2 linked regions of the Tribolium castaneum genome follow. The protein of the gene in region 2 interacts with the protein of the main gene of each other region in a pairwise test. Links are inferred from orthologs where the notes say so. Each region holds a gene or a part of one and is shown on either strand. Other genes may lie near its edges.

Region 1 (15,314 bases), on a different chromosome or scaffold from region 2:
GTTACCCCCAAGACCAGGCATCAAAACGGCATATTGCATATTTTGGAGCGTCTCCAAAGGAGTTTGTAAAACCAGAGCCATTTCGGTTCGTGGTGTTGTCAACACTTGAAAACTACAAGACGATTTCACATTTCTTGGTGTATTCGAACGGTCGTTGTTTCGAGGCGATAAACTCTTTCCTGTCACTTCCAAATTATTATTAACCTCATTATTCAACACTTCTGGCCTCGGTGAAACCACCAAACACTTATTATTGTTGTTGTTATTACTATTATTATTAATCTCTTGTTCCAAATTATTTTTCTTGCTTATAGTCTCATTCTCTTTCTCAATGTTATTCTTCCCTTCCTCAACAATGACATTGTTTTGTTTCATTATTTTTTGCTTCATTTTTTCCATTTTTGCTTCCTTTTCCGCAAGTTCCAACGCTTCCTTGATCGCTTCCTTCCTCTTCCTTTCACGTTCTTGCTTTTCGCGGATCGCACGCAACTCGTTTTCTTTTCTTCGCCGTTCGATTTCTTGTTCTCGCTCGATTCGCAATTCTTCTTCTTGTTCTTCTTTGATCCGTTTCTGTTTTTCTTCCAATCGTCTTCGTTCCCGTTCTTCCAATTGTTGTCGGATTGCTTCTTGGTGTGCTATCGCGATTTGTCTTCTTCGTTCCCGTTCCGCAAGTTCTGTGGAATCGACTGGAATATTTTGGCCTCGAATGAAAGTCCTAAAAATAATTTCGGGATCTTGCCCAACACCTAAATCAACAATTACCGGTTGAAGGCACTACTGCTAGTGTAGGGCCTTTCAACGTCCTCTTCGTGCTGTTGGGGAGATTCCGCTGGTGAGGTGTTTGAAACAACGATTTCTTCGTCTCTCTGGAGCCCCCTTTTGACCCAACTTGGAGGGTCGTTCTCGCCACAATCCCAAAACTTATTTTTGTCCTTCCATTTCGGACGATCGTCTTTGTAACTAGAGGAAGATTCGTACCCTGATTGGTTCGTGACTTGGTTTTCTGGGTTGTTGGTAGGATTATCACTACCATAACCAGAAGTCTCACAACCCATCTCCTTATCAATCGAATTGAATTGATTTCGTGATAAAGGAGGCAAACTGGAGCGTCTTGTAACACTATTATTGCGGAAGAACTCGGAGTTAGGCATTGACAACTTCGGAACATGTCTATTCCTAGACAAAATTAGGGTAGGTATTTAAGAGTGTTAAAGGGGGAAATACCTTTGGAATGGCCTTTCGATTGGCTGGTCCTTGTTGTTGCCCCATGGGGCGCACAAACCGGCCAGTTCTTCTGCAAAAAAATCACAAATCTCTGATTGAATTTTCACGATTTTTACCTTTTTCTCTCGCCCACTGCAGTTTTTTCCGTTCGATCAGCGACAAGGGTTTGTCTACGTACGTGGACATTTCATTTTACTCTAAGCAAATCGTTTAACCGAGCAATATTTTTATATTACCGTAAACTAGAAAAAGAAAGAAAATCTCGTGCCAAAAAAGGGTAGACGGTGGTGCTTGGTGACACAATCAATATTTTAGTCATTTATGACGATTTTATAATGATGTTACGAAAAATCTTACCTTTTGCTTGATATTCAAATTTTTCAAAAAATTTGTCACAAAAAGACTGCGTCGCGTGAAACGAGTGAAAGTGTAATGAAACTAAAACCACAATAAATGTATGCGGGAAAACTTATCTCGTATTTGATCAATGTTATTGCTATAGCAACAACTATTCAAACATCTTGAAGGTGAATAACCCATTTGGTGATGGAATTGAAGGGGAGTTCACCGTCGTGTGATTTGTTTGGGGCGACGTGGAAATATTTATACGGGAAGTGACCCCCATATTAGGCAATTTAATAAAACGTTACGAAATTTTAAGCTGATGGTACGTTGGGAAATTGGTGTGAAGGAACTTAGCAATTCGTTCATTTCATTAAAAAATAAAATCGCCGGAATGCACGTGTGAACGACGCTTTAGCAATTAAATCTTATCAGTATTTTAATTATTCAAATCTCTGCAACGCCTAGAGTATAATTTCCTCTATAACCCAGTTGTGGCATGCAACAAATACGTGGTTCACCCTAATTTGCGACCCAATTCCCACATATAAAATATATCTTGGAAACGACAAACGCATGCAAAACAGAACAGATCCATGAAAATTCATGAAGAACGCAAATCGGTTTTTTATGTTTTCCTATAATTTGATTTATATTAGTTTGTAAAAAAGTAGGTCTGTTTTCGATTTTTCTATTACTCCACTTACATAAACAAGAAAATAATTTTGAGAAGCACAATTATTTGTTACTTACGTCCACCATTTTATAAATTAATGTGGCTTACTTTCTTAATAGAATGAATGAATCAATACAGAGATATTTAAAAGATCACTGGAAATAAATAGATTTTTTTCTAAAGAGTGGGCAGTCAGTTTTAGTTATTTGCCTACATCCATTAAGCTGTATGTGCAAAAATTGTCGAACAGTAGAATTGAGTATTAAAAACCGTCTGACACGACAGCAGACTATATAAAATTTTCCGATAAAAATATCAAAAGCTGTTGCCATCGAAACACAAACACTCTTCTGAAAATATACTAAAATATTTTTAAAAAAGTGTGTACGGCACGATGTCAAATTTTAGCAAAACAGTTTCAAAAATTTTTATTCCATAAAATACGTAGCACATACTGATTACTTATTATTAAACGATTATATTACCTTATTAATTTGAATTGGGGTTTCCAGCAGTTTTGAACATTTATACTTTTATTTAATTCATAAAAAAAAGAATCCAAAATTGTCCAATAGATTGCCAATTTATTTAAAAAATCCACGCTTTTGAAAGGCTTTTTATCGGCGCATAATTTCTAAAAAGATTTCAGAAAAGTATAAAGTTACTTATTTATATAGGGTGAAAGTATATATTATATTTTTACTGTATCTCAAAAACCAAACATCGAAATTTAATTTGTGATTAATTTAACCTCTTCCAAATAAAATAAGCTACAGAATAAATAAACTTTTGTTGGGGGGTTTTTTCTTTTTTAAGGCTAGAGACAATTTCTTTTACCAATCACTGCTTCCTAAGACAAGCATTTCTCTGTAGTAGATACTAACTTATTAATTAATTAATTATTTATTCAAATATTTTGTTTTGTTGGTGTTTGCGCAAAACAATTTTACCAAATCTGTATTACAGTTTATAAAACGTCATCTTGAAAAAAAAAGATTTCAAAAGTTTGTTTATAAGGAAATAATTTGTAATTAATAATTTAAAAAAGCACATCATGCAAGTAATTTCAAAGTGCATCCTGTAGTTACATTTTAAAATAACCGAACTTTCACGCAATCCAATTTAATTTAAATATTAAATTGTTCCGTAAATAGACCAACTACAAGTGCAGTCATTTTACTTCTTGCATTTCGAAGCAAAAAATCGCAACTGACACATTTAAAGATCGTCCGCATTCTTGCATAAACAGTCGTGAGGGAATGATAAGACAATTCCGCACGATACCGTTCATCGACTCGCAACTTATATATCGTAAAGGTCATCAAACGGAACCCGATTATCGATTCGATTCCAAATCCCGATAAATCTCCGCGATCATCCCACCACCACAAAACCCACCTGGCGTCCAAATCCAGCTTCTTAAATATGCTAATGACGATTTAATTGACACCAGCCGAGCACCGCTATTTGCACCATCAAACACTTCAATCATGCTGCTTCAGTGCGCGACTTTCAGCAGTCGAAGATGCGGCGGCCAATTTTCGTGTTATTTTTTCTGCTACATCTGAAAAATGCCAGAGTTATCCTTCCGACGGTACCCGATGTCATGCATCCACCCGTACCCGACGATGGTAGTATCAGTGCATTCCATAACACCTAACGGTAAAAAATGTCATTCAGCTAAAGTCGACCGAGATATGGCTTTTATGATGGAAGACCCCGATCCCGAAGTCACTCCCGGACTGTTCCAAGGGGACATGGCTATGACCAACGAGATCTACAACTACTGGAGGGTAGGGATACGGTGGGACGTGTTTCCGGAAAAACTATGGGTCAATGGGACTGTTCCATATGTCATAAGCCCCATATATGGTCGGTAATTAAACCAACGAACGACGACCACGACCGTAATCATTTCTCGTCACAGAACCATCGGACCAAGTGACAATTTTAAAAGCCATCCATATTCTAAACTTCATGACTTGCGTTCGGTTCGTACCATGGGATGGTAAAGCTAAAGATTATCTCCTAATCTGGCCCATCAAATACCCCAAGGGTTGTTGGTCATTTGTGGGTCGTTTTGGTGGCGCCCAGATTGTGAGTCTACAACCACCAGACGCCACAAGCCCAAATTGTCTTGGTACTGAAGGGAGGGCCGTCCATGAACTAATGCACGCCTTGGGTGTGTTCCACGAACAGTCACGATGGGACAGAGACAAGTTCGTTAAAATCCACATGGACAATATCATACCACGTAATAACACTTACCACTTGTATCACATAATAACTCGTTTTTCCAGAGTACAAAACCAACTTTGATAAGCAAAGCCTTGAAAATACGACTTACAGCTTCGAGTATGACTATGATTCCATAATGCATTACGGGAAATACTTTTTCAGTAAAGGTAAAAACAAACCTACAATTACAGCAAAGCAACCAGGAATCAAAAGGCTTGGTCAGAGGAAGGCTCTTTCCAAGGGAGACTGTTTGAAACTCAACGATCTCTATGGCTGTTTCGACAACCCTCGACTTCGTCGCAAATACTACACGTTATGTCAATTTATGGGTATTTAATTTATTTAAATAAAATTAATTAATCTTCAACTTGTCCTGTTTGAATCGACGCTGATAATAAACTACCCAACTCTTCCTCCTTGACTATGTCTTGTCCTTCAACCGATGGCAAGTCCGAAATCGGGTCGTACTCTTCGTCGAAAACATCATAGGGGATGAAATTCTTCGGTGCTGGCCATGCTTTCACTAAAAAAACAACTAACACAAAAGTACCACCGAAACAATTTTAATACAGCTAAAGTCCTTCGATTGCCCGATATGTTCGTAATAGCGATGATACTGTTTCAAAGTCTTCAAATACTCGCAATTGATTAAAAATCTCAAAAGTTTCACTTCGGGAAGGTATTCGTAATAAGGGTCGCGTTCGACCAAACTGCGCGTTCGCTGCAAATTCGCAACATCTGGTTTATCGTCACCAGAACTCTTAAAAACTACACTTAAGATGGTTCAACACCTGAAAATAATTAATTACATCGCTCTCTTCTTCCCTCTTGGCGCGGGCCTTCAACTGGTCGCTGATGAACGCATTGGCGAATTTGTACAAACGTTCGCAACACTCTGTCACATACATCATGGAGCTTTCCAGGCCGCTGTTAGAGTCAAACTCTTCGACGCGTTCGGCAGGACGGCCAAAATGCGACATCCATTCGTTCCAAAAACGCTAATTAAAAATAATTTGGTTGCCAGTAAAATGGTCGTACCGCTTTGACGTGGTGGATTGCTGATAACAATCGCACGTTTTCGAGACGTTCGGATTCGTGTTCAAAGAGAAGACTCAAGTGCTTGTGGAGGGCTTCTTCTGAACCTTCAGCTATGTAGCAGAAGTGGTTAGCGTAGTAGAGGAGGATCCCGGATAAGGGTTCAGTGCAGTATCCGGTGTTCGTTAATTTGTAGTTTTTTTCCATCGCTTCGACGATTTCACGAGGGGTAAAAGAATGCTCCCCGATGTAAAGCAATCGGTGAATGTAAGTGACCTGAAGTCTGTTCTAAAGAGATTGAATTTAGCAATTGCGCATACCCTCTTTGCTATCTTTAAGTTTGTTTGAACTACATCGTACAAGGATCTTCTAATTGGTTCAAGTACCACTTGTCTACTTGCTTCTTTACTCTTCTTTTTTCCTTTGTACCTCCTCATTCTTGACGTTTTATTGACAAAACGATTGCCATGGGAACTAATGACAGGATTCAGGATTTGGTTCTGTTGGTTTCTCAATCAAAACCCTTCGTAAAAAAACACCTTTTATTATTTTTTCTCATTAATTCTAATGACGGACTGTCGGATATAAGGAAAAATTATATTGTGACAATATAAACTAAAGTCGAATCTAATCACAGTTACAAACATTAATAAGAGAAGAACTTAATCGCTATGTATTGAGAGATAATACAAAAAAATTCATTTAGAACGAGCGAACGAACGTTCAATAAATATTTACCACATAAATAAATAGAAATTCTTTTGCAATAATTAATAGCAACTAAGTTGGGACGCATATGGAATGCATCTGAAGAAAAATACTGTATCAGGTCATTCCCTTGTCCACACTGTTATAGTTTTAATAACTTCCGTTGCTATATCCGTTGGATCGTCCGCCATTAGTGAATCTCTGGTGATTTCTTGGACCGCTGTTTTCGCGCCCTCGAAAACTTCCGCCGTAGCCCCAACGACCACCGCCACCGCCGCTACCCCCTTTGCTGCCGTAACTGCTACAACGATTCGCCATCTCAGACAGTCTCGGATTGATAGCCTGTTCAAACAAATAATTAGTTTACAGTTTAAAATTATAGTAGAAGTGTTGGGAAACTTGAGGATGGGATCCAGACAGAATTTGTGTGGACACCGAAGGCATATTTCCCAAGAATTAATCTCCCTTCCTTCAGCATTCATGCATTGCCGTCTTTTTCCAAGCAAAGGCATGCCAAAAAGGAAGGGTTTGACTCAAAATTAGGGTTCTCCTCACCTGGTTTGCTTCCTTAAGAACGGAAACCAAATCTTTGGCTTGTCGGAAATTGGATGGAGTGAAGAAAGCGTAAGAGGTGCCGGTGGTGTCAGATCGGCCTGTCCTTCCTATTCTGTGAATATAATCTTCTGAAGAGTTGGGGTAGTCATAGTTTATGACATATTTAATTCCTTCCACATCTAGAGAAAAGCTTGTTTTATATGGGTAACACGTGGCACAGTTCGTTAATTGTGTTAGCAAACACAGAAAATTAAACCTTGTTGTAACAAAACCAAATTAGTGAAACACAAGTTAATGACATGGTTTTCAATCAAAAGACAATAACGAGTTTTGTAACAATTTTGTATTTTTTTCATTTTTTGTTGGAAGAGTAATGAAATTGTTACAAAACTGTCATTGTATTATTGATATAAATAAAAAATATCAAGAATACTAACCATGACTCGAGTTTCAAGTGATCCACGAAGTTGTGAAGCATTTACAACAAATCATCGGAACAGCTATAGTAGCAAAATGGCTGCTGCAGTGATGTCCGAGCGCATGTGCTGCTGGGATCAATAAATATGCTGGCGCTCTAAACACTGCAGGACCGAACGGAAGACAAATACTCAAATTTGAATGACATTTGTTTGACTTGGCTTTTGGTAATTCCCCGAAACTTGTAAGTTTTGTTTTTTAGAAAGGATTATAAGGGATACATGGAATGGGATTGTGTATACCAAACATGTGCCATATTTGATGCGAAAGAGCACATCAAATCTTCCATCGGTCTTCTACCTCCTCAAATGATCTACCTCAGAGCGGGGTAGCCAGCCAGAGGCACCGCAAGACACAGAATTGCATCCTTTACAAGAACGCAACAAAGGCGTAATTATTAGCACTTGCTAAATACGCTCATCCTGCATGTGCCTCTGAAACAAAAAAGGACAACCAGACTGATTAAAAATCTGTTCCCTGTGGTATTGCAAACTAACAACTAAGCATAATTAAAAATGAAGATTCTTTTGGCTTGTTCCTACGACGATCATGCACACTCCCAACCCACCCACCGCACACCCCAATTTATAAAACCAGTCTGGAAAATCCCCCAAGTGCTACTATGCCATCATACTCAATATTTCCGAAGTTATGTGTATCAATTAAAGTGATAAATTTGAAAAAACTGAACATGGTTAAATTCCAAAAAAGAAACAGATGAAAAATCAAACGTTTCGTTCGGTTTAAAAACCTACCCAAGCCACGAGCAGCTACGTCTGTAGCAATTAAAATGCTCGATTTGCCATTTCGGAACTCTCTCAAGACGAAATCGCGCTCCTGTTGGCTCTTGTCACCATGCATGCAAACGGCAGGCCATCCGTAACGTCTAATTGTGCGGGTTATGCTCTCTACCTTCTTTTTGGTTTCTACGAATATAATGATTTTTGCTCCAGGCTCGCCGTTATTGCCGATTTCTTGCAACAAGTTATTCAATCTGAGAAAAAAAAAAAAAACGACAAACATTAATTTCACGAATTTTTCGCTAAATATATTATTAAATTAAAATTCAAATCAGTTCTTCTTAGAGGATTGGGTGTGGTAATAATACATCAGTATTATTTCAGCACTTTTGCTCATCACTTTGAAATAATTATTTTGTTAACGTCAAATTGGGAAAAATTGGTTTCTGACTATTTATCTCTGATTGGAATAGCAAATACTTCTTTAGGTATAATAGAAAACAAATTATAATAACAATCGTCGACCAAAAAATTAAATACAAATCTCGTGTTAACTATTTTACACAGCACAATTATTAACTGTGCCATGTAAATTAGCTACCATACGATGAAGAAAATAAAAATAGATATTTACTTTGTTTCCTTTTCGTGTTCCTGGCAAACATCAACGATTTGAAGAATGTTGTGGTTGGCCGACAATTGCAACGACCCAATATTGATTTGTACGTAGTTTCTCAGGAAATCTTGTGCCAATTTTCGGACTTCTTTGGGCCAAGTGGCTGACCACATCAAGGTCTGTCTGTCGGGTCTGATCTGTTCAATAATTTTGCGTATTTGGGGCTCAAAACCCATATCCAGCATCCTATCAGCTTCATCCAGGACCAAATAGGTACATCTTTGTAAATTCGTTGTTCCCTTCTCCAGGAAATCAATCAAACGGCCGGGAGTCGCAATACAAATTTCAACCCCACGTTCCAAATCCCTGGCTTGGGGCCCCTTGGGGGCGCCACCAAAAATACAGGTATTGCGAACATAGGACGAACTTCCGAAATCATGGGCCACTTGCTGGATTTGTTGGGCGAGTTCTCGCGTGGGGGCCAAAACTAGAGCTATGGGTCCATCGCCACGTGCGATAGATGGCTGGTTATTGATATGGACGATCGCTGGTAGGATGTAAGCCAGGGTTTTCCCTGACCCCGTCTGGGCAATGCCCACCAAATCCTTCCCGCTCATGGCAATGGGCCACCCTTGCGCCTGGATGGCCGTTGGAGTGTCGTATCCCTGTTTCTGGATCTCGTGTTGCACATAATCGGGGAAACACGCCTCTTCGAAGTTCTGGATAGGGTTGGGCGCATCGCCATCTATCGTGATTTCCTTGGACCTTCTGTACTGTTCGACCTCGTACTTTGACCGGTTGGCAACAGCGGGGTGAGGGACGTAGAAATCTTTTTTGAAAGGGCGCAAGTTCTTCATGTCCCAATTGGGTTTTCGGAGGCGGTTGCCCGGGGATCCGCCGCCGCCGCTGCGGCCGCCGAATCGGCTTCCACCGCCCCCGCCCCCACCGTTCTTGAAGCGGCTGCCGCCCCCGAACCCGTTGCGACTTGCGCCGCCTCCGAAACCGTTCTCGGAGCCACGGCCTCGATACGATCCGCCATTTTGTTTACCGTAAGACCTGGGACAGAGAAAAGCGGATTCAGTTAACATTTCCAGCTCCATTTTACGCAAAAACTTTGCTCAATTTCCCGTTATTTAATCTGTGTGACAAGTCAAATGACGTAAACTGCGATTATTGATTTTTCGAGACAAATTTAGGAGACAGCTGCAGAACAAAGGAACGGCAGACATTTTTAAATATCTGACTCGATTTAGCCAAATTACGTAAAAAACGGGTAAAATACGTCCGAATTCGCGTTTTTCGGTAAGAAAATAAGGTACTTACATGATTAAAACTGTCGGATGGTGTTTTCAAAAGGTGATTAAACTTGATTCTTGCAATTCTTTGGAGTTGCGAATTTCTGCAAAATAACGAAAAACGTCATTAGAAAATCAGTCCACTCTGTTTCCACCGCTTCAGTGACGACAAAAACGCTTAATTTTGAGGTAAAAACACTTTTTTGGTGGATATTAGAAAAATTTTCGGAAAAGCAAAAAAAGGCTACTCACCTCAACAACGTCCAAAGTTGAAGAGAAAGATGGTGGAGAATTCTGGAAGGGGGAGAGTGGAAACGGTTCTGCACATGCGTAGTACGCAATGCGACGCTTTCTGGGATCAATAAAACGGAAACGATGTTTTTGCAAAGTGGCGGAAGATTTGAATTTGTGCAATTTTCTATTGTTCAAAGAGAAATCGGATAGAGAAAGTAGCTCACAATTTGCGTGTGAGAAAGTGCATACTTTTTAACCTCCTGCAAAAAAATGGATAAATAAAAATTTCTAAAATACAGCAAATTGTTACAGCCCTGCAATTCAATATGAGATTATTGTTAATCTTTGTTATAGGTATTACTTCAAATCGCGTTATTTAACCACCTGTTTAGTTAAATAAGCTGATTCCTTACTTAAAGACGAGCCAAATCACCGCCTGATTTTGCGTTTGTTTCTTTGCAAGAAATTGATCCTCTGATTCTTTGCTTAAAATGTAGCAATCACCAGAGAATACTTTAAACCGCCTTATTTTGCATTTGTTTTTTTGGAAAAAGTTAACTTTCTTTGATTCATTGTTTAAGAACGAGCCAAATCGTAGAGGAATAGTTTAAACTGAAACTCTTTATTCGGTTACAAAAAAACGAATTATGTATTAGTTTGTACAAAAACGGCTCATTTTGGACGATCCTTTGCTTTGAACAAGAACGCTCGTTGACCATTAAAAGCGAGCGTTCGTTTAAGCGAGGTTTATTCGTTAAGTCCGAACCAATTTGTTACTAAAACATAGGACTAAAACGGGATTTGCATTAACCACTGTATACTATTAACTGTTACAAAATAGAAAAAAAACAATCAATACCACATTGGTTTATTGTGAAAATTGTTAACAATGGAACATGTTTTGAACAAAAAATACTGTTACTTCCTAGGCTGGTAAAAATTCATCAACCGTTACGATGCAATGTGAACAAGATCACTCCTCTCAATTGGTCTCATTTTTTTGTTGTAGGATTAGGGTATTAGGGTATAAGAAAAAAACCTTTTGTAATGGTACATTTTTATTTGAAATATTTGAATAAACAATTAAATTCGGATTTTTTGACATTTTGAACAAACGAGATGGAACACTTCCTCAATTTTTTTTCTCAGAAACAATTACATATTCAAGTGGAACACTTTGAAAGTGTCAAAAATCAATTTTCGCTCAATTACGTTTTGTCGAAAGTCGAAACTTGGTGTTACAATTTCCGGTTACAGGACCTATGAGAAAATTCCATCTTTTTCATTGAAAATTTCAATTCCTAATTTAGATTTGTTCGCAAAATATAAATATTTCGTTTTGTTTTTTAATGAATATAGATATACATCCATCCAGGTTAAAAATTGAAATTTGCCAAGAAAAACATTAGAAAATGAAATATATATTTTAAGTTACAACTATATTAATACTGTATTACATACAAGAAATGCACTTGCTGGAAACTTACAGAAGAGTATATAAATAATGACTTTTTTTAACAGTAACTGTATTTTTTTCCTTTAGAGAGTTTTAATGCGAGGGTCATGCAACCTAATTTGAGAAGAATAAACCCACATGTAAATAAAACTTGACCGAAATCGCGCTTCAACGAATCCCAAACACGAGTTCAGATTCGAGACTTATAATTACAAGGTACAAATATTGAGAAGGAAGAATAATAAAAATGAGGAAAAAAATATTAAATATTATGTAAAATCGTTAATCGTTATGATGCATTGGCGCGAATGATAACGTCACAGAATAATGAAATAACTTTGTGCTTTACGCACTCAGTCCGAGTACCGAGATACGCTCTCACTTTCCATTAAAAAAACTCATTTAAAAAAGTATAACAGTAAAAATGTTTGAGGTTCAAAAACGGGCCGCTAGCGACCTTGCTTTAAAACAAAATATTATCTAGAGATATTTCAGTCTTTTTCATATAGAAAATATCACATTCCTATCTATCAACGTTATTGTACATAGCTTAATATAATAACGCTTGGCGTTTCTCCCAGTCACGGAAAGTTAATGTTATTATTCTTTTGCTACCTTTTAAATCGTTAATATCACAGATGGACGTGCGCGCTAATCAGCACCACGCTAAACGACGAACGAGTTAAATACTTAATACTACACATATTTACACGACACAAGCAGTCATGTCAAGAATCGCAATAAATAAAAAACGAAAGGTACGAGTCACTTGCACACGACACGTACGGCTAAAACTCTCACTCTTTCTGCTGTCTTTAATTAATTCCAGTACAGTCAAAACATCCATACTAGTAACAAATCAACAAATCCTCTTTTCCCCGTTTTGTTTGTTTGACTGGACTCACCTAAACAGCATCGATTTTTACTTTTTTCATTTGATATTATTATAAAATACTAGAACGAAACGAGCCCGAACTCCCCTTCTATATGTTTCGTGCATTTCAACAGCATACAGATAGTTACTTCTAGACTACCTAAATCGTCTCGTCACCGAGAACACACAGATTACACACTAAATATATAAAGACAAAGACCGACCAAAACACCTCGAGTAGTCGTCGGAGAGCCCAAAACATTAAGCCTGATTAAAGCGGTGCGAACCGTCAACATCCCCTCTAATAATAACAAGAAAAAAAAACATCAATTTACAATAAGGTTACGTACATCGACTAAAAAACGGGGATGGTGCCATCTGACGGCAGATTTATTGCTGTACGGTGGCGGTTGCGGGCTGTTGAGTATAAGAGTAGGTGGTGTAAGGGAGGGGACCTTGGAACTGGCTGTAAGGACTTTGGCCTTGACCCATCGATTGATAAGCGCAAGGATTGGTTGTGTTAGGTATGCGATTACTCTGGAAGAATTTGTGGTTCATGATCGACTGAATGCCGTCAGAAGGGGGGCCTGGGGGCATCATGTAAGCCGGAGGCGGGACGGTGTACATGTTGGGGCTGTTGGTCTGCGGAAGGCCCCCATAGGCCTGGCGCTGGTTGAAACGCTGGTTGTAACCGCGGTTGTTACCTTCAAAGAGGGGCCAAATTATACCAAATTCAATTGCAGACATATGTAATTCTTCATTCACGATGTTTTGAACAAACCAATACGAAAAAAATAATTAAAAATCTTAAACCTTCTTCACTCTTTGCTTTTAAGTTTAGTTGTTACATAAAAATACAAAAAATGTGAAAAGCGTCTTACAATGGCAGTTTATCGTAAAGCTATAAAACAACAGCATTTAAAACATAGTATTTTTTGGCTTACGTTGAACGAAATTCCTCGAAATAATTATTGTTTTACTGAGCTGTTTTAATTTACAAACATGCTTAAAACGAAGTTATAATACCAATTTTAATATAATTCATACATTATACTTTTAATTTCCTCGAAATAACTACATTTCGGGCTGTAAAACATAGAAAAACACTCAAAAAACAGTAGTTTAGCAATTATTCGACAGAAAAAACTGACGTTTTAATTTACAAACATGTTTAAAATGCTTGGAAAAGGAAGCAATGACACCAATTTTTACATAATGTATTAATTTTTCACTTATTTGTGACATTCCTAAAAATAATTGAGCTTTAGACTGAAAAATGTGCTAAAACTCGATACAGAACACAATACAATATCCATCGAAATAATTACTTTTCCAGCCAAAAACAAGCAAAAGAATTTTTTTTTATGTTCAACCTCGATTACAAAACCTCGTCAAAGTTTTTACCGCAAGAACTCCAAACTTCCGATTCTTTAAGCTTATTTTTTTGCAAAATTTGCTGCCTTCTAGTCATTTGGTCATTTTTCAATAATAACATTTTTTAATGAATTTTTAATTTTTCAGTCAAAAATTTGAAAAATAGTTGAGTTTTTACTACAAAAACCTGCTAAAACCCTGAAGCAAAGATAACACAATTTTCAACCAAGTTTCACAATTTTTGGCATTTTTCTGATAAACTTGTTGCAAAGCGAAAAAAAAGGCATAAGAATCATAGCTCCAATTAAATTTTATTTTTCAACAAGACATACTCGTAACAAAAAAAATTAAGTTTTTACTACGTACTTAAAGCGAAAAAAAAAATGCAAAAATAGCAGTTTTTAACACAATTTTGTAATTTTTAGGTTTATTTTTGCCGGAATTCAACGACTTAATGGCGTTTCGAAACAAAAACATACTACAACCAAGACTACAATGCACGAAAAGGCAAAAATGTTATTTTTATCAAGTTTAACAAAATCTAGCGAAAATTAAGTTTTTACCACAAAATGCAAATAACATTTTTTTAATCAAATTTCGTCACTTTTGACGAATTCCTCCTTTTCTAATAGAAAAAACTTCATAAAATAACCTTCTTTTCACGACAGTAACACCATTTCAACCTCATTTCGTATTTTTTGGTGAAATTCTTGTAAATAATTACTGCTGAAAATCGTGCTAAACCCTCTATGAAATAATAATAATAAATTTCGAAAAAAAAAAAGCCAAAACGCATAAATTATACCATTTGAGATGATTTGGTTATTCGTCGTTTTAATTAACAATTTAATTTTTCCCTCAGTTTAGCGAAGCGAATATTCAAACTAATTTTACATAAATGATATGTGGCAACGTTGTTTAACAGTTGTGATCACAATAGAATTTCATCAACAATAAAAATAAAATAATTTTGAAATGGTTTCCTAGAAAATAATTCCCAGTGTTGGCACATCTATACATTGTGATTTTTTTGATAAATTTTATTTTTTTTAATTTAAAAAACTGCTAAGTCTGATGGTAAATTTAAAAATAAATATTCATCGTTTTGTTAGAGAACGATTACTTAGTGTGAAACAAAAAATAAAAAATAATGAAAACTGAAAAAGTTAACGAAATAAGTTTGTAGCTCCAATTTTTTTACATGCTTCTCAACAAGGTACCACTGAGTTGGTGCGCCAGTTTTTGAAAACCCTGTATAATAAAGTAGCCACATACTTCCCCAATTTCATAACACTGATAAGTGATAAAAAGTAAAATTTGTTTCAAATGGTTTGTCCAAAAACATTCGGAATAAAATGTTTTTTAATAACAGTTACACAAAATAAAAATTATGAAATAATCCACGCAAGACAATTAATTAACAATTGTTATTTCTTGTTTGTTATACATTTTAATCCTACGGTTGTATTT
Region 2 (15,145 bases):
TCGTACTAGTACCGGAATTGTAGCGGTCGTTTTGTCGTCCTCCGGGACCGCCGCCCCCTCGGCCTCTGCCCCCGCGGCCGCGCATCGAACCGCGACCAGGACGGCCGCCCCCGTCCATGTCCGAATTGTAGCCTCGGTCGTTTCGTCGACTCATCGACAGGCTCTGCATCGAACCGAGGGCGTTGCCGTGAATGCTCCTTAGCTGCTGGTCGATCTCGAGTTTCTCCTGTCTAAGCTGTTCCACTTCCTAACAAAACGAACAAAACATTATAAAAAAATTAAACTCGGCTGAAAATAGGTACCTTGAGGTGTGCCAGGTGATATTTGAGGAGGACTTTCGCATTGGATATGCTCTCTACGGTACCGACGAACACAAACGGTACTTGGCCTTCTTCGCGAGGAATCGTCGGTTGGGGCTCATTGTCACCTTCGATTTTAACCCGAACCTGGAAAAAATCGGTCAAACTGGTTCAACAACAATTAAATTTTACGTACCACACCGCTTTTGTCAACGATTTCTTGAATAATTCTGCCATTTTTGCCGATTACTTTTCCTACTAGCGCCCGCGGAACTTGAAGAGATTCTTCACTATATTCTAACATCGATCGGGCTTTCTTCACAGCCTCGTCAGTCTATAAAAATAAACAAATATTATTTTGTAGCTGCTTTTATTTTGCCATAATTCCAAGCACCATGAGCAGAAGTACTATTAAGTCATTCATAATCAAACCAATATAGTTTCTGTTTTTGAAAATGTTCTGCCCTTGTCTTTAATACAACCAAATTTTATTACTGGTACGAACTGTGAACATTTAAAACAGTTTTTCCTCTAGTTTCAAACAAAAATTCATGTCGCAAGTACTTTATACTAGCTGTGCTTAGACAGCTACAGACTTGCTGGTTTTAAAATGTTGTTAACACCCCCCGCTTATACATCCCCACTCCTTCAGCTCTTCTCGGGTGGGGTGTAGTTTTGGGTAGTTTTTAGTTCATAAGATGACTATGTAAGAAACAGTCAGAACAAGTAAACGTTTTTCCAACAAAATTCAAAATCTTCGTTTCTGTTTAGACCCTGGTCCTTCGACATACCTTTACATCTGGTCCTTCGAGCCGGATAATTTGTGAACCAGTGCAAAAACGACATACCTTTACAAATGTTAACAATTTTTCTAAAAAATCCGTCTCAGAAACTAAATAATATCAATTTTGAAACATATTTGACGCATTTGTCACTTTATGTTTACAAATACTGTTTATGACTTCAACGAGTTTTGCTCCAAATAGGGAGGTCATCTATCGGATCTCCGATAAACTATCATCGAAACAATAGCGATAATTTATTGATGATAGAGTTTTGGGCTCGATATTTTTCGAGTTAAAAAAATGATTAGTGGGCTTTCTCGCTTTCTCACCTCTCCATATATTTTAAACGTGCAAGAATTTTCTTCAAGTTCTATGTTCGTAATACCGTCGACTTTCCTAGCTTGTTGTATGTTGGCACCGTGAGCCCCAATCGCTAGCCCCATCAGATCTTCCCTAACGTTGAACTCATCGGAAAACCTGCAAAAAAAAATCGCATCATCAACACAAGAACAAAAAACACCAAACACCCCTCGGCTCGACTTGACATGCACAAATTTTCTCTCTCGTACAAAATAAAACAACATGCTGTCAAAACAAAAAATAAATCCGGTAAATTGCCCCTAAAATTCGAATAAGAGCCAAGAGGAATGCACATTCTACAAACATGCGTATTTTTTTTGAACTTTTTCAAGTCTCACCTTGAAATGGTCTCGTAATTTGAGACACGCTGGTACATGGGCTTATACTTGCTGAAAGAGAAAAAACAAATCGTCAGAAAAACATCAAAGAAGCGTCCTTTTGGCTCAAAATCGGAGGCAATTCACCGTACGTTTTTTTTACAAGGGGAGGAAAAATTGCTTACCCGCCGATTGTCGCCAACTTCGTACTCTCCAACTGCCTCGCCGCCTCCTCCGTACGTTTCAATAAGAGCACTTTTTGCGATAAACTACGAAAATGCATGTCTTGCACAAGACGCGCGCATCTGCGACTCGACTCGTTCCTCGATATCACTACGAGAACACCCTTTTCCGGAACGTACCTAATGAGACTAGCACCGATGGCGTTTTGAAACTCTTTGTGAGCATTTTCTATTTTAGCACTGCGAAAAAAAATCATGTGTGTAAAGACAAAGAAATCTCCGACAAAGACTTACTACTCGCGGACGTCTTCTGGTACTTCGATTTCGAATTTGACAAACATCGAACTGTCAATCGGTGGATTAGAGTTTTTGACACGAAGACGATCGTCGCTGACTATTTCCGTGTACGTTGTGTCCCAGCCGACGTATTCCAACACGTAAAAGTCGCCTTTCATCATCTGAGGAAGAAGAGCGAAATTGCATTGCTTGTCCATTCGGTTAGAAACGCCATAATTACTTCATTGCAAAATTAGTTTAAGCGTGCATCAGTTTTAATAAACTTTTTTAATAAAAAAGTTTATAAAGAAGTTGTTGTAAAATGTTTATCTCTTTTGAAGATATTGCGTGTGTATAATTATGTCTCATCCAAAATCTCCACACAAATAAATTTTACTATACATAAAAGGTATCACCTTATATCGCTTAATTGTTGATTATAATTATTGAAAATAATGCCAGACGTGTGTTGACTTTAAAACCTCGAAATCCCACAACAGTATAACTTAGGAAAGGCCCTGTGTATTGTATCAGATATTTGTTTGAGAATAAAACATGTTATTATTATGAATCCAATTCTAAAATTAGAAAAATCAGAGCTCCAGTATTACACGCGTTCAGATTAAGTAGATAAATTGTCTTAGGTAATATTTTACATCCTATTGCAGTGTTCCTAGCGGTTACAAAGATTTACAATTACATAACAACCGACCAGTGGGTAATGGTTTCAGACCAGTGGGTAAAGGTTTAAATTAAGGTAAAATTAGATTTGTAAAGATTTAATTATTTATTTTTCTTAAAAAGTTGATTTCAAATTTTCTCATTCACTCGTCCTCAATTCCGAGTATAGTTAATTTTTGCCGTTACAACTTCGGAACTATTCGAGTACGTCCGCCTAAGTTAGCTTGTATTCAGATGGAATTACAAACAAAACGACTAGTTTTATACTCTTTAAATTAAATACGGAAAAAATAAAAAAATAAACAAAAAAGTCAAAAACTGAAAATTATACACAATGCCAACATAAAACAATATTTTAAACTTATTAAAATGTAATGTAATTATGCCAAACAAAAAATTTAATAGTACATCAGAAAACAAAATGCCAAAATTTTAAATTCCAAAAGATGTTTTTGGATTACAGTTTTTTAATTTATCGACATCTCAGTACTTTTGTCCAGTATGTGGCAAGGACAAAGCGATAAGAGATACAACAAAAAAACTGAGAGGAAATGAGTACAATTTTCCATATTTTGGAATTTGTGCAATTATGATTACATGTTTCGATTTATTTCGGTCAAGAAGAAAATCCTTCCCAATAGAAAATACTAATCGGACCAAAAATAAAGATTAAAACAAAATAAATAGTTAATAGAAAAGTTCAAAGTACGCAATTAAATTCCAAATTCGACGAGTCATGCAATGTGTCCTTTTTCTATAAATAAACTTTAAGTAATAATGTGTAAAATTAGACGATCCGCAACTTTTGAGCGTCAATTTTTACAATTTCTATCGCATTGTCATATTTTACTTGAATGTGGGAAATTTCGAGTAGCGAATAATGAAATGAGAGAAAAAAGTGAAAAGCTTATTGCATTTGGGAAACAAAACGTTATATGAAGAGAAATACGATGCGAGGGATTTTGAAAACAATCAAATAATTCTTGTTTGTTATTTAGTGATGAGTGAAAATTAAAATCAATAACATGGAACTTATTAATCTAGAGTACTTGTCAAATTTGAATATTGACAACTTTTCCGCATCACGTGATTGGGGTTCTCACAAACAATTGGTGAGATAAGGTTTTTGACACCTAAGTAATTTGCTTGTCATTATAGACCACTAATTATGATTCAAATCAAACAAAACAAATAGAAAAAACTTGAAGATAACAAATTATCACATAAAGAAGAAATAAGCGCTTACACAACCACATCTTCTTTCTCACCTTAATTCTAGACTTCCACCATCCATAAGCCTCTTGATGATTAGCTCTGGAGTATACTTCAACCTCCATGTTTTCGGTAAACTCGACCTTTGGGTCGGGTTTTGGGGGCAAACGAACTTGAGAAAAGGGAAACTTTGAATCCGGTTGCCACCTAATTAAAATCGTGCTTAATTACAGTAAAAAAAAAAACAAAAAAATCAACTTACTCATCCTCAAAATGTATAAGAACGGAATCCTCAAACACATCAACGACGTACCCCTGGAAAAAAACGCCCGTTTTAATTCATCGAAACTCCCAACCACCACCACTGGTAACATGATACTCGTTCATACACAAATTCGAACATAACCTTGCCTCGAAACGCGTGATTCCTGCCACTTTCCTTGAGGAAAATCCCATCAAATCCTAGGGAATCGATCGATGGTAAGGGGGAAATTGGGATTTGGGTGAAAATTTGCTACACATGGAAAATTCACGCCCTGTCAGATGGTCATGGCGTCAAAAGAACCGCGTTTGCAACTCCAAGATTTCGGGATTTTTCTCGGAAAGTATGGGGTTTACGGGGGTGGCGGAGGCTTGTGCTCAAGCACCGACACATGGACAATGGACGGGAACGCAACGATGGATTGGCAAAAGCATACTTTGTGTGGTACAGACCTTATAAAGGGCCCCATTTTCGCCGCATACTTCCACTGCCAGGTCCTCCATGTTGGTTTTGTTCTTGGGTGAGGAAACAGCCTTGAGCCGAGAGGGAGTTGCACTGCTGCCACTCTAGCAAAAAGAAATTCAGTGAGTGACAGATACGAAATGGAGAGCTGGGATTGGTCGAAAACCGAAGGGAGCAGTGGCGGCGCCAGCGACACCAATAAGGGGGCAAATGAGGATAATTCAACAAGCTGATAGACAAACCTGCTTTATTTCTCCTTAAATTAGAAAAGTTCTTCTTAAATCCTTATTACAATAAAAGATTAAGTAGTCCTAAGTTATTCTGATCGTCCGAAAAGTGCTAGTTTTTAGAAAAAAACTACTTAAGTTTCTTGTTTTCACTTACATTGCTTAGAAGCATCACATTTGTGATAGGAATTTATCTTTAGAGATAGTAACTTTCCGGGATCGATTATTTTAAATCCACAGTACTATTTTTTAAGATCCATGTAGGCATTGGCAATTTATTGTACCTGTTTTATATTTTAACAAAAATTGAAAATATCGTTTGTTTTTTGTATTACCAATAGGTTTTTTCAAATATTTTCTGCGACGAAGAATAAGCGACATAATCGCTTGACGTCACAGCCGCCTTTCATCACAGAATCTTCGTATCATTAAATCCTCTCAGTCACCAAAAACAGACATTTTTCACACATCTTCGACAAAATAAAAAATTAACTACTTTCTAGACTTCTTTCGGGTCCAAATTTTTAAAAAGCAAAAACGTAATTAATTGTTTGAAAAAATTACCGCAAAATAATTATTTATGAAAAAAGTGCTAGGCGATTTTACCGTCCAGTTCAGCAAAAGTTCAGCAATTGAACACAAATTGTTCGCAAAAGTGGCAGAACGAATGGTTTTTGAAATAAACAACTTTAGCAGTAAACTAGTTTTTGCCAGAACAGCAACACCGCTCAAAAGTTATTGAACTAAAGCTTACAAAGCCTGTTAAAAATTTTGCTTTTATCATTTTTAATAAACTAACAAAAGATAAACGTTTTAAAAAAGTTATTGAAATAACTTATTAACTTAACTTAATTTCATGAGTGATAAAATTATAAACAAAAAATTTATTAAAAAAAATATGATGTGATGACAAAAATTTTATCAAATTCGTGAACTGTAGACCAAATCAAATTTTACTCAGATTGTTCAAAGGACAAGACTTGGGTTGAGTAGTGTAATTATTCAAAAAATAGTTGCAAAATTTTATCATAAAACGTGTAATTAGTTCAAAAATGCGCTTAAACGTTCGATAAAGGTAAAAATTTAAGATACATAATTTAGTGATTTTGCGGTTGATAAACAAAAAACAAAGTTTTTAGCTCAGAAACATAGCTTTATTGCCTGAAAAGCAAAAATTACACAATTTTTGACGTAATTCAGTATTTTTTTTAGAAATATTGCCAAATATTATATGCATAATGTTATTTTTGACCACATTTAGTTATTTTTCGGCTCAATTTACGAATTTTTTTGGATTGATTTAGCAAAATTTTGCATAGTGTGTTTGGGAATGCAAAAGAACTCGACAATTTATAATTAAAATAATTAAGCAACAGATCAAATTTAACTAGAAACAGGGCCTTAAGACATTTTAGCTTCCACAAAAACACATTTTAAACTTTGACAGTTCGATACTTCCTATGGATACTTCAAAATTTAAAAAAAATATCACCCGGCAACCATCTTGGATTTTGGATTTTGGACCATGAAACATTTAGAGATTAGGATTGTCTTCTGCCATTATTTTTAACCTTTTTTTGCAACATTTGACAAAGCTTTGAAGACGGTCTTTGAGCTACATGTTAAACGTTCCCATGTTAGCCCCCCTTGCGCCGCCACTGCCCTGGCACCGCAACGTGACCATGACTAGTTCGTCAAACTGACAGGCCCAGCGGCGCTGTGCGTAATCACGCTTATCTTTTAAACTAAACGTTGTCATTGGTTTTGTAGGGCGCCGAAATTTGCGAGTGCCCCCGTGACAACGCCCCGAAATGACGAGTCGCTCATGAGACAATGTCCAGCAGCAGCGACTCGGAGGAATTCTACGACGCCGAAGACCTAACACCTAGTCATGGTCCAAGGTACGCCCCAAGCACTTTTTACCTCCAAGAAGACTTTCATTTCTTCACTTTGGACCACCACAACACCACTTTATTTACACTTCACGACAACAAAAAACAATTGAAACACATGCCCTTTGACAGATGCTCGCTTGCCCACTTGATAATTATATCGTGTAAAATTTTATAGAAAAAATCGGAAAAGCTCCAAGGAAAGTCTCACCCAGAGGGCTAGTTCGGAACCTAATGTCTCAACGGTGCCCCCAGGTCACGACGAGAGACAGCTCCAGTCGGTCAATGAGATTGTTTTTGTAAGTGAAGGTGTTACATAACCTCAAAAACATATGGTTGCGTAGGTTGAGCCCCAGAAGAGGACACCGCTTGGTGGCCGGCGCAAGTTCAAGGAGTTGAGACAGAAGCTGCAACACGACGATGAGGACTGTCAAACTGGCAACGTTACGCCCCCCAACAGCCAAACATCATCAGTTGAGGGGGTTTTCGCCGCCTCCAATAAGACCTCCCACCCTTTCCGTATCATAGAACAGGACACTGTGAGCCTCCAGAGTATCAATTCTTTAGGACGGCTCACACGAATTTTAGGGGGGATCGCCGAAGGGGGTAATAATTCAGTGATTGGTTTTGTTTAAATTCTAAATAATTTAATATTAGAATGTGGCCGCAAGGCCGTTTCCGTATCCGCTCTCTCCTCCAGCTCCCTCGACTCGGGCTCCACCCCCAGCTCGAAGGGCATCTCCCAGTACCCCAGCAATGCAACACTGACTTCCGAAAAGTCCAGTCTTCCGCTACAAGAACCCGACGTCATTGCAAGCACAAAAGCCTCCTCTTCGCAAAAGAGCGACGATCAAAATGTGGCACCGGTGGCTCCCCCACGTCGCAAAAAGAAAAACAAGGCGGCGCTCCAAATCAAAGTATGTCTTGGACCGCTATCATCTTTTTTTTAAAGTCGGTATTGCAGAAATCTGCATCGAGTGCGACTTTTGAGTCCTCCGACCTGGCGAGTCCTGCGAGTACCATTGAGTCTTTGACGCGCGAATTCGAACATTCTCTCGATCGCCTGCCGTCCGGCAACGAATCGCAGAGTTCGACGCTACGGTCGGGGCACTCGTTGGATATCAAGCAGGCGTTGAAGGGTCAATTTGTGGTCAAGCCCCAGGATAATGAAAGTTTGAAGGCCGGGGAAGGGGGTAAGGTTAAGAGTGAAGTGGTCCAAGCAGCGAGTCCGAGAGGGTCTTCCACGAGGTCAAGTGTCGGGCACTACAGTTTGGGACCTCATAGGTATTTATACATTTTTGATGATCAATCAAGTTGGCTTTATACCATGTCCATCAAGTGGGCCTGAGACCACTTGATTGATTAAATTAACTTCATAAAAAGCTTTTTAATAGCACAGTTAATAGTAATTTATGCTTCCCTTATCACGTAAAATCTAAAAAACTAAGTTCTATAATTCATACACGATGTTTTTGCATAAGAAATTTTGGCAAAAGGCAAAAAATACTATACTTTGGACGATCATTTGTCAATTTTCTGTTCGGCTTTTTTCTAAAAATGTTGGAAATTGGTTAAAATACCGCCATTTTTTGACACGGCGATATTATGTCTTAGTTTTGGAGAAAAATCTTTTGCGTTTGAGCCTTAAAACGAAAATGTAAAAAAATTGTGTTTGTGGATAGAAAAAAATATTTTTTAGCTCAAAAACCTGTTGAAGTGCCAGAAAAATAAACAAAAATCCTACGTATTATTATTTTTCATCGAATTTATTGATTTTTTGTTTCAAATTAGCCACATCTCACGAAATTTTGAGAAAAAATTGTGTTTTTTTAAGGTCGAACTTAAACATTTTTATCAAAATTTCTGAAAGTAATTATTTTTGGTCAATGAAGTATTTAAACACTCGATGTTTGCGCCTGTTTTTGGAAAAACTCGCGAAAGAAATGCCCTCAAAAAGGTTTTTTTTTAGCAATATTGCTCAAAAAAAGCAAAATAACTTAATTTTTTGTCTAATTTATCTAATTCTCCCGAAAAAACTGAGTTTTTAATTCATTAGAGATTCACTTGAATTTACAAAGAACGCTGTGGATTTAGTGATTTTTCGGTCTAGTTTAGCGCCATCTCACGAAAAAATGCGTGAAACATGCAATAATAGGGCTGTTTTCAACTCAATTCGGTAATTTTTCGGCTTGATTTTCACAAATTTTCGCGAATTAATTGCATTCCTGTGAAAAGTTCAAAAAGTCTTCTATCAAAGGCAATAAAAATCTGTCAATCTAAATTCCACAGCAAGAGTTGACTAAAGACTTTTTGAACGCACCGTATAATTATTGTTTAACTAATTTCACTCAGATTAGCAAGTTTTTAGCTTAAAAAAGTATGTAAACGTAACAAAAATATACCATTTACAATACTATTCGGTACTTTTTTGCATAATTTTTTACGAAATGATGCGTACCTGGCTAAAAAAATTGGCGAATTTACGCAAAACATTGACTTTTAGACTTAAGAAATGTCTAAAAGTTTGAAAAAGGCAACAATAAACCCATTTTCGACACTATTACCCAAATTTTTCGGGTTAGTTTTGACGTTTTGACTAAATATCGCGCAATAAATTCGTTTTTGACTGCAATTTTTGAGCGATTTTAGTCTTCAAAACGTTTAAAAAAAGTAAAATTCGATCAAAATTTAGATATCAAATTATGACTGGTATGGTCGTAGTCGTGGTGCCTGGGCCCTAGTTTTCTGACAGTGACAAGTGACAAGACATGAAATTTTATGCAAATTCTATGTCCGACATCGAAAAACATCTTGAATGGATTATATCCGCTCAAAAAAATCAAATTTGAGCACAATTTTGGGTTTCGCAAGTATTGCATACTGAATTTTTCCTTAGAGGAACACACCAGTCGAACAATCGGAGTACAAAAGAGCGTCGGAAATCCGCCGGTGACGAAAACATGTTAAAAGATGCGAATTTAAAAGTTCGGACTCACACCGACTCCGGTAAACAATTATCCGACTTCGAGATTTTGGAGCAAGTGACTGTGCTCAATCTAGATACCGGAGAACGAGTCCCTTTGAGCGTAGCCGAAGACAAGCTACCTCAATGCATCAATCCCTTATCCCTCCACATAATGCGACTAACCTCCGAATACGTGAGCAGCTCAAGCATGGAGAAAGAGAAAGAATCGGACGAAGAAAGCGAAGAGAAAAAAATCGAGATCCCCATCGTCGACGACAATGAAGACGTGAGTCGGATGCGGAAGAAGACGGCCATGTTGAAGAAGTTCGTAGGCACCGCGATGAAGAAAACAATGCACAAGGCCAAAAGCATAGCCCAGGAGGTGTCCCACGCCCGCCACAAGGAGGACATCATCGATATCGTCGATGTTGTCAATCCTGGGGAGCAAACAATCAAACTCAAGGCTTCCAGCTCGCACAAAGGCCCCTACGAGTTCGAGAAAGTCGAGCATGTGCAAGAGCTCAAAGACGAGCACGAAGGGCCCATCTGGTGCATGAAGTTCTCCTGCTGTGGGCGTCTCCTGGCCACAGCGGGCCAAGATAAAGTGTTGCGGATTTGGATCGTCCGTGACGCTTTTCCCTTCTTCCAAGACATGCGGACCAAATACAACGCCGAGAAGGTGTCGCCAACTCCGTCGCAGGAATCGCTAGTGTCGCACCATTCGGGCGAGAACAGCAATTTGGCGGTGTTGGAAGCTATGACTTCCGAGGAGTGTGGCAAGATGATGTTTATGCCGAAGCCCTTTTGTACATATACGGGGCATACGAGCGACTTGTTGGATGTTTCATGGTCGAAGAATTACTTCATTTTGTCGAGTTCCATGGATAAGACGGTTAGGTTGTGGCATATTTCGAGGAAGGAGTGTTTGTGTTGTTTCCAACATATTGATTTTGTGACGGCGATTGTGTTCCATCCAAGGGATGACAGGTGGGTTCTAGTGCAAAGTGCGTTTTTGGACCATTGGAGGATAATTCATAGTTTACTATCACGTCCAGTTTCTGCGCCGAAGTGGTGCTTCAAGTTTTGTGTAGCTCGGGGTTGTTTAAGTGTATAGTAGGAGAACTACATACATTTTTCGCAAAAACCAACATGTATTGTACTTCTCTTTATTTGATCTCAAGCCTTGCTATGAGATTTAAAATATCGATAGAGGAGTTTTATGCAAAAGGTCAAACATTTGGAACGTTACCTTTTGGATTTTGTTCTTTTTTATTTTTCTACTTATTATTTTTTATTTATTTATTTTATTTGGATTATTCTGTGAATTTAAAAATGGCTTCAAGAGTTGTAAAAGATTTGTATGGTTGTGGATGTCATGTAGCACCAACGAAGACATGATATACTGCCGCTCAAAAAATTTCGGACACAGCAAGTTTTACGGTTTCTAAGCAAGAAGTCGTCTGAAATGAAGTGTTTACAACCAAATTGGTGCTTAAATCATCGTTTTTGATGTTTTTACTATCATTAAAGGTGTCTAGAAAAAACTCAAAAGGCCAATTTTGGTGGAAGATACACTGCCGCTCAAAAAATTCCGGACACTTCCAAAATTTTTGTTGTGGTGCATGAAAAATTATGAAAACTTTTATATTGTGTTTTACCAAGAAACAGCATCTTCGCAGTGAGAAAACCAAATGAAACAAGAAGTTACCAAAACAAGAAGACATTTAAGAAATTATCATTAAAAAAAACGAAAAAAAAAAGACTAATTTAAGATCATTAACGGGTGTTACAACCAAAAGCTTTTATTACGTCTATTAAACGATATGGCTTGTTTTGGATGGGTGTGGTAATCTGTTCTTGAGGAATTTGAACATTCTTTCTCCAGTGCCACTTTTAAGTTATTTGACGTCTCCAGCAGGGGTTAGCTACGTTCCATTCTTTTGCCAAGAAATTCCCAAACCAGTTCTACTGGATTCAAGTCGAAACTATTGGCTGAGCACGAAAAACATCGTGTATTAACTTATTCCAATATCAGATAACAATGTGATGGCGAGCATTATCATCCACAAAAAGATAATTTCTGACAATGAATGGCGCATAGGAAACCATATGTGATTCTACACATTTGAGGAAGTACCTATCTGGTGTTATTGTCCAGTTTTCAATAAACACCAAATCGGTATGGGCTTCTAAAGAGGTACCAGCCCAGATCATTAAACTGCCACATTACTGCTTTGTTAAAACCCGCTCTGAGTGATATGCAGCATTGATTGAATCTCTTGTTTGGTCTTTGCCACACTTTTTCTCGACAGTCTGATGATGTTGAACTAAATCTAGATTCATCTGTAAAGAGTACGTTCTTACATTTGTTGTTGCCTCAACTCACATAGGGTTGTGCAAATTTAAACCCTAATCTTTGATGAGCTACCCTTAATTTAGGATATCCAGCCGGTCTTTTAGCAAATGGACCTGCTTCCTTGAGTCTCCTCTAGACTATTGCAGGTGAAATTTTTACTTTACGAACTTCTACTAATCCTCCAGCAAGGATATTTGATGACAAGCTACAATTTCACAAAACAGAAAAACCCAGGAAATGGCCATCTCGAGTAGTTGTTGAGCTCCCACGACCAAATCCGGCTTTTTTGTGAATCCTTATATTTTACAAAACTGAGTGTACGTCCTGCACATTTTTTCGCGGTATTATGATGTTATACTGTATATTCAACACTTCGGCCATCATTGCTTAAAGCAACAATTTTTACAGAAATTTCTGGTAGCATCGTACGCAAATGAGTCAAACTGTTATCTGATAAGCAGTTTTGAGCAACAAAAAACAATTTAAACCAAAAACAACGTGATAATTGAAGTTATGTACCTTATCCCAAAGTACACGGTTTAACGCTGGTGTAGACCCAAAAAGTACAATGTAATCATGAAAATTTCTTCTAAACCCCGTTAAGACACTAGCTCATGATTGATTGAGTAAAATTTACACAAAAAATTAAGTATTTCTGATTAAAAAATAAAGTGACCGGATTTTTTGAGCGGCAGTGTAGTTAAGAGATAAGTACAGAATTCCACAGTGCAAATTACTCCAAAAAGACATGGGGTGAAGTCAATTACACTTTGGTTCACTTATGTTGTGGCGACAACCTACTAATGATACAGAAGATTGCTGTTTCTGGTTAAACCAAAAGGATTTTATAAAAAAAACATTTATGACATACTAGAGACTTGTCAAAATCCTGATTTTAACAAGCTGCAGAAAGCGCTAAAAAGACATGGTTGAAATAAAATTAGATGTCGTTTCGACGATCTGAGAACGCAAATAGTAACTAAAACTGAATGGGTACGAAGAAGACACACAATCCTTGTACTAGTTCCTGGTTTACAAAAAGAGTACAAAAAAAATAAATAAAAAGGAACTGATGGAAAGCTATACAAAAGGAAAAATAATACAAAATATTTTTATTGTTTTTTTGTGCATAATTTTTGTTCTAATTTAATTTCTTCTTTTTTTTAAATTTATTTGTCTCAACAACTGGACGTGATGGAAAATGAAACAATTAACATTTTAAAATTAGACCTTGCAATTTTTTCCCAATAGATACTTTTTGAGCGGTTCACTGGACGGCAAACTCCGTCTGTGGAACATCCCGGACAAGAAAGTGGCCGTTTGGAACGAAGTCGAAGGCAACCCGAAACTAATAACCGCGGCAAACTTTTGCCAAAACGGCAAATTCGCCGTTGTGGGTACATACGACGGTCGTTGCATCTTTTACATAACCGATCAATTAAAATATCACACACAAATCCATGTCAGGTCTTCCCGTGGCCGAAACGCCACCGGTCGCAAAATCAGCGGCATAGAACCGATGCCTGGAGAGGATAAAATTTTGGTCACTTCGAACGACAGTCGGATTCGGTTGTACGACTTGAGAGACTTGAACGTCTCGTGCAAATACAAGGGATATGTAAATATGAGTAGCCAGATTAAGGCGAGTTTTAGCCACGACGGTAAATACATCGTGAGTGGCTCGGAGAATAGGGATATTTACATTTGGAAGACTAACCACGACTATGCGAAGTTTTCGTCAGTGCGGAGGGATCGCAACGATTTTTGGGAAGCCATCAAAGCTCATAATGCGGTTGTGACGTGTGCCATTTTCGCACCAAATCCCGAAGGGGTCATCAAGATGATTGAGGAGAGCTGCAAGTCGGAAGAAACGGAAACTAACGATAAAGTAAGTAGTTTTCCTTCCGAAACAACGAAAGCTTGTGTTAATTGGCGCAGTCAGTAGTGAAATTTACTTTTTTATCGCAGCAGGTGGAGGATCCGGTGGTGGAACAACATACCAAAGGTTGTGGCGGTTATGTGTTAATCTCGGCCGATTTCAACGGCTGCATCAAAGTCTTCATCAATAAAATGAAACCCAAGCATAGCTCATTACCAGTCTCCGCAATGGTGTCCAACACCAAAATTAAAAAAACCTAGAGTAGCTCTAATTTTATTACTAAATTGTGATCGATTGTATTATATTTTTTTTAAATTGTACATTATTTTATCCAGTTCTAATAAACACTAATTGAGAACTATACCTGTTTTTTATTGTGTTCCTTCTATTGTGACCTGTCCTGACCTGACCTGACCTGGCGAAAATACATACAGGGTGACCCAGCGGTGTGTAATCGGTCTATAACTTTTTTGCTATTTGAAATATTACCATTCTGTTTTTATTATCCGATAGATCGACTTAAAGTCCACAAACTAAATATATTCTTATTACGCATAGTGTGTTGTATACAGGGTGGTGAACCAAAGTTGTATTTTTTTAAATGGAACACCCTATATATTTTTGCAAAATTAGATTCTACGCAAAAAAATAATGAAACTTTATATAAACTATTATGGGTCTATCTATTTTCGGTTTAGAATTATTCAATTTTTCGTTATAAAAAAGACCAATTTTTGAAAAATCATTGCAAAGTCGCTTATGAATATTTTGCGATAAATTTGCAACAGAAAAATTCAGAATACCTTGTAGTTTTAGTAAATCGACAACTTTTAGTTAAAGCACGCAGATAATATACAGGGTGTGTCAAAACGCAAAAAGTTAAATAACTCATTTTTTTCAAATGAAACACCCTGTATTTTATTAAATGTGTCGATATAATTTTTGATAAGCTTTCTAACGGTATAGGGCTTGTATAGCAAATTTAAAATA

Evidence for each region.
Region 1: the proteins of Fmr1 (region 2) and Rm62 interact in binary tests that used the Drosophila melanogaster proteins (3 or more experiments, as listed by UniProt). The link is inferred for Tribolium castaneum from reciprocal best matches to the Drosophila melanogaster genes Fmr1 and Rm62.

The regions. Positions count from the first base shown.
Region 1 is NC_087394.1:23,991,516-24,006,829, forward strand, and holds Rm62 (ATP-dependent RNA helicase p62), read right to left. Parts: upstream 10,013-15,314; 5' UTR 9,937-10,012; coding exon 9,935-9,936; intron 9,668-9,934; coding exon 8,630-9,667; intron 8,250-8,629; coding exon 8,011-8,249; intron 7,690-8,010; exon of another isoform or gene 7,216-7,689; intron 6,958-7,215; coding exon 6,779-6,957; intron 6,750-6,778; exon of another isoform or gene 6,609-6,749; intron 6,566-6,608; coding exon 6,374-6,565; 3' UTR 6,044-6,373; downstream 1-6,043. Other genes in the region: probable WRKY transcription factor protein 1, read right to left, coding at 1-715, 763-1,176, 1,225-1,294, 3,641-3,734; hatching enzyme 1.2, read left to right, coding at 3,814-4,114, 4,170-4,496, 4,543-4,817; uncharacterized protein LOC135267436, read right to left, coding at 4,837-5,003, 5,051-5,240, 5,290-5,478, 5,519-5,791, 5,836-5,952; uncharacterized protein LOC103312134, read right to left, coding at 12,861-13,174. UniProt on the Drosophila melanogaster protein: As an RNA helicase, unwinds RNA and alters RNA structures through ATP binding and hydrolysis. Involved in multiple cellular processes, including pre-mRNA splicing, alternative splicing, rRNA processing and miRNA processing, as well as transcription regulation.
Region 2 is NC_087400.1:7,266,200-7,281,344, reverse strand, and holds the start of Fmr1 (RNA-binding protein FXR1), read right to left. Parts: upstream 7,134-15,145; 5' UTR 7,005-7,133; coding exon 6,987-7,004; intron 6,965-6,986; coding exon of another isoform or gene 6,897-6,964; exon of another isoform or gene 6,834-6,896; intron 6,783-6,833; exon of another isoform or gene 6,653-6,782; intron 4,941-6,652; coding exon 4,827-4,940; intron 4,428-4,826; coding exon 4,375-4,427; intron 4,320-4,374; coding exon 4,169-4,319; intron 2,402-4,168; coding exon 2,238-2,401; intron 2,184-2,237; coding exon 1,947-2,183; intron 1,834-1,946; coding exon 1,783-1,833; intron 1,562-1,782; coding exon 1,414-1,561; intron 634-1,413; coding exon 496-633; intron 447-495; coding exon 303-446; intron 248-302; coding exon 1-247. Other genes in the region: WD repeat-containing protein 44, read left to right, coding at 6,897-6,964, 7,134-7,254, 7,300-7,561, 7,613-7,872, 7,920-8,239, 9,852-10,907, 13,528-14,164, 14,245-14,415. UniProt on the Drosophila melanogaster protein: Polyribosome-associated RNA-binding protein that plays a role in neuronal development and synaptic plasticity through the regulation of protein synthesis of mRNAs.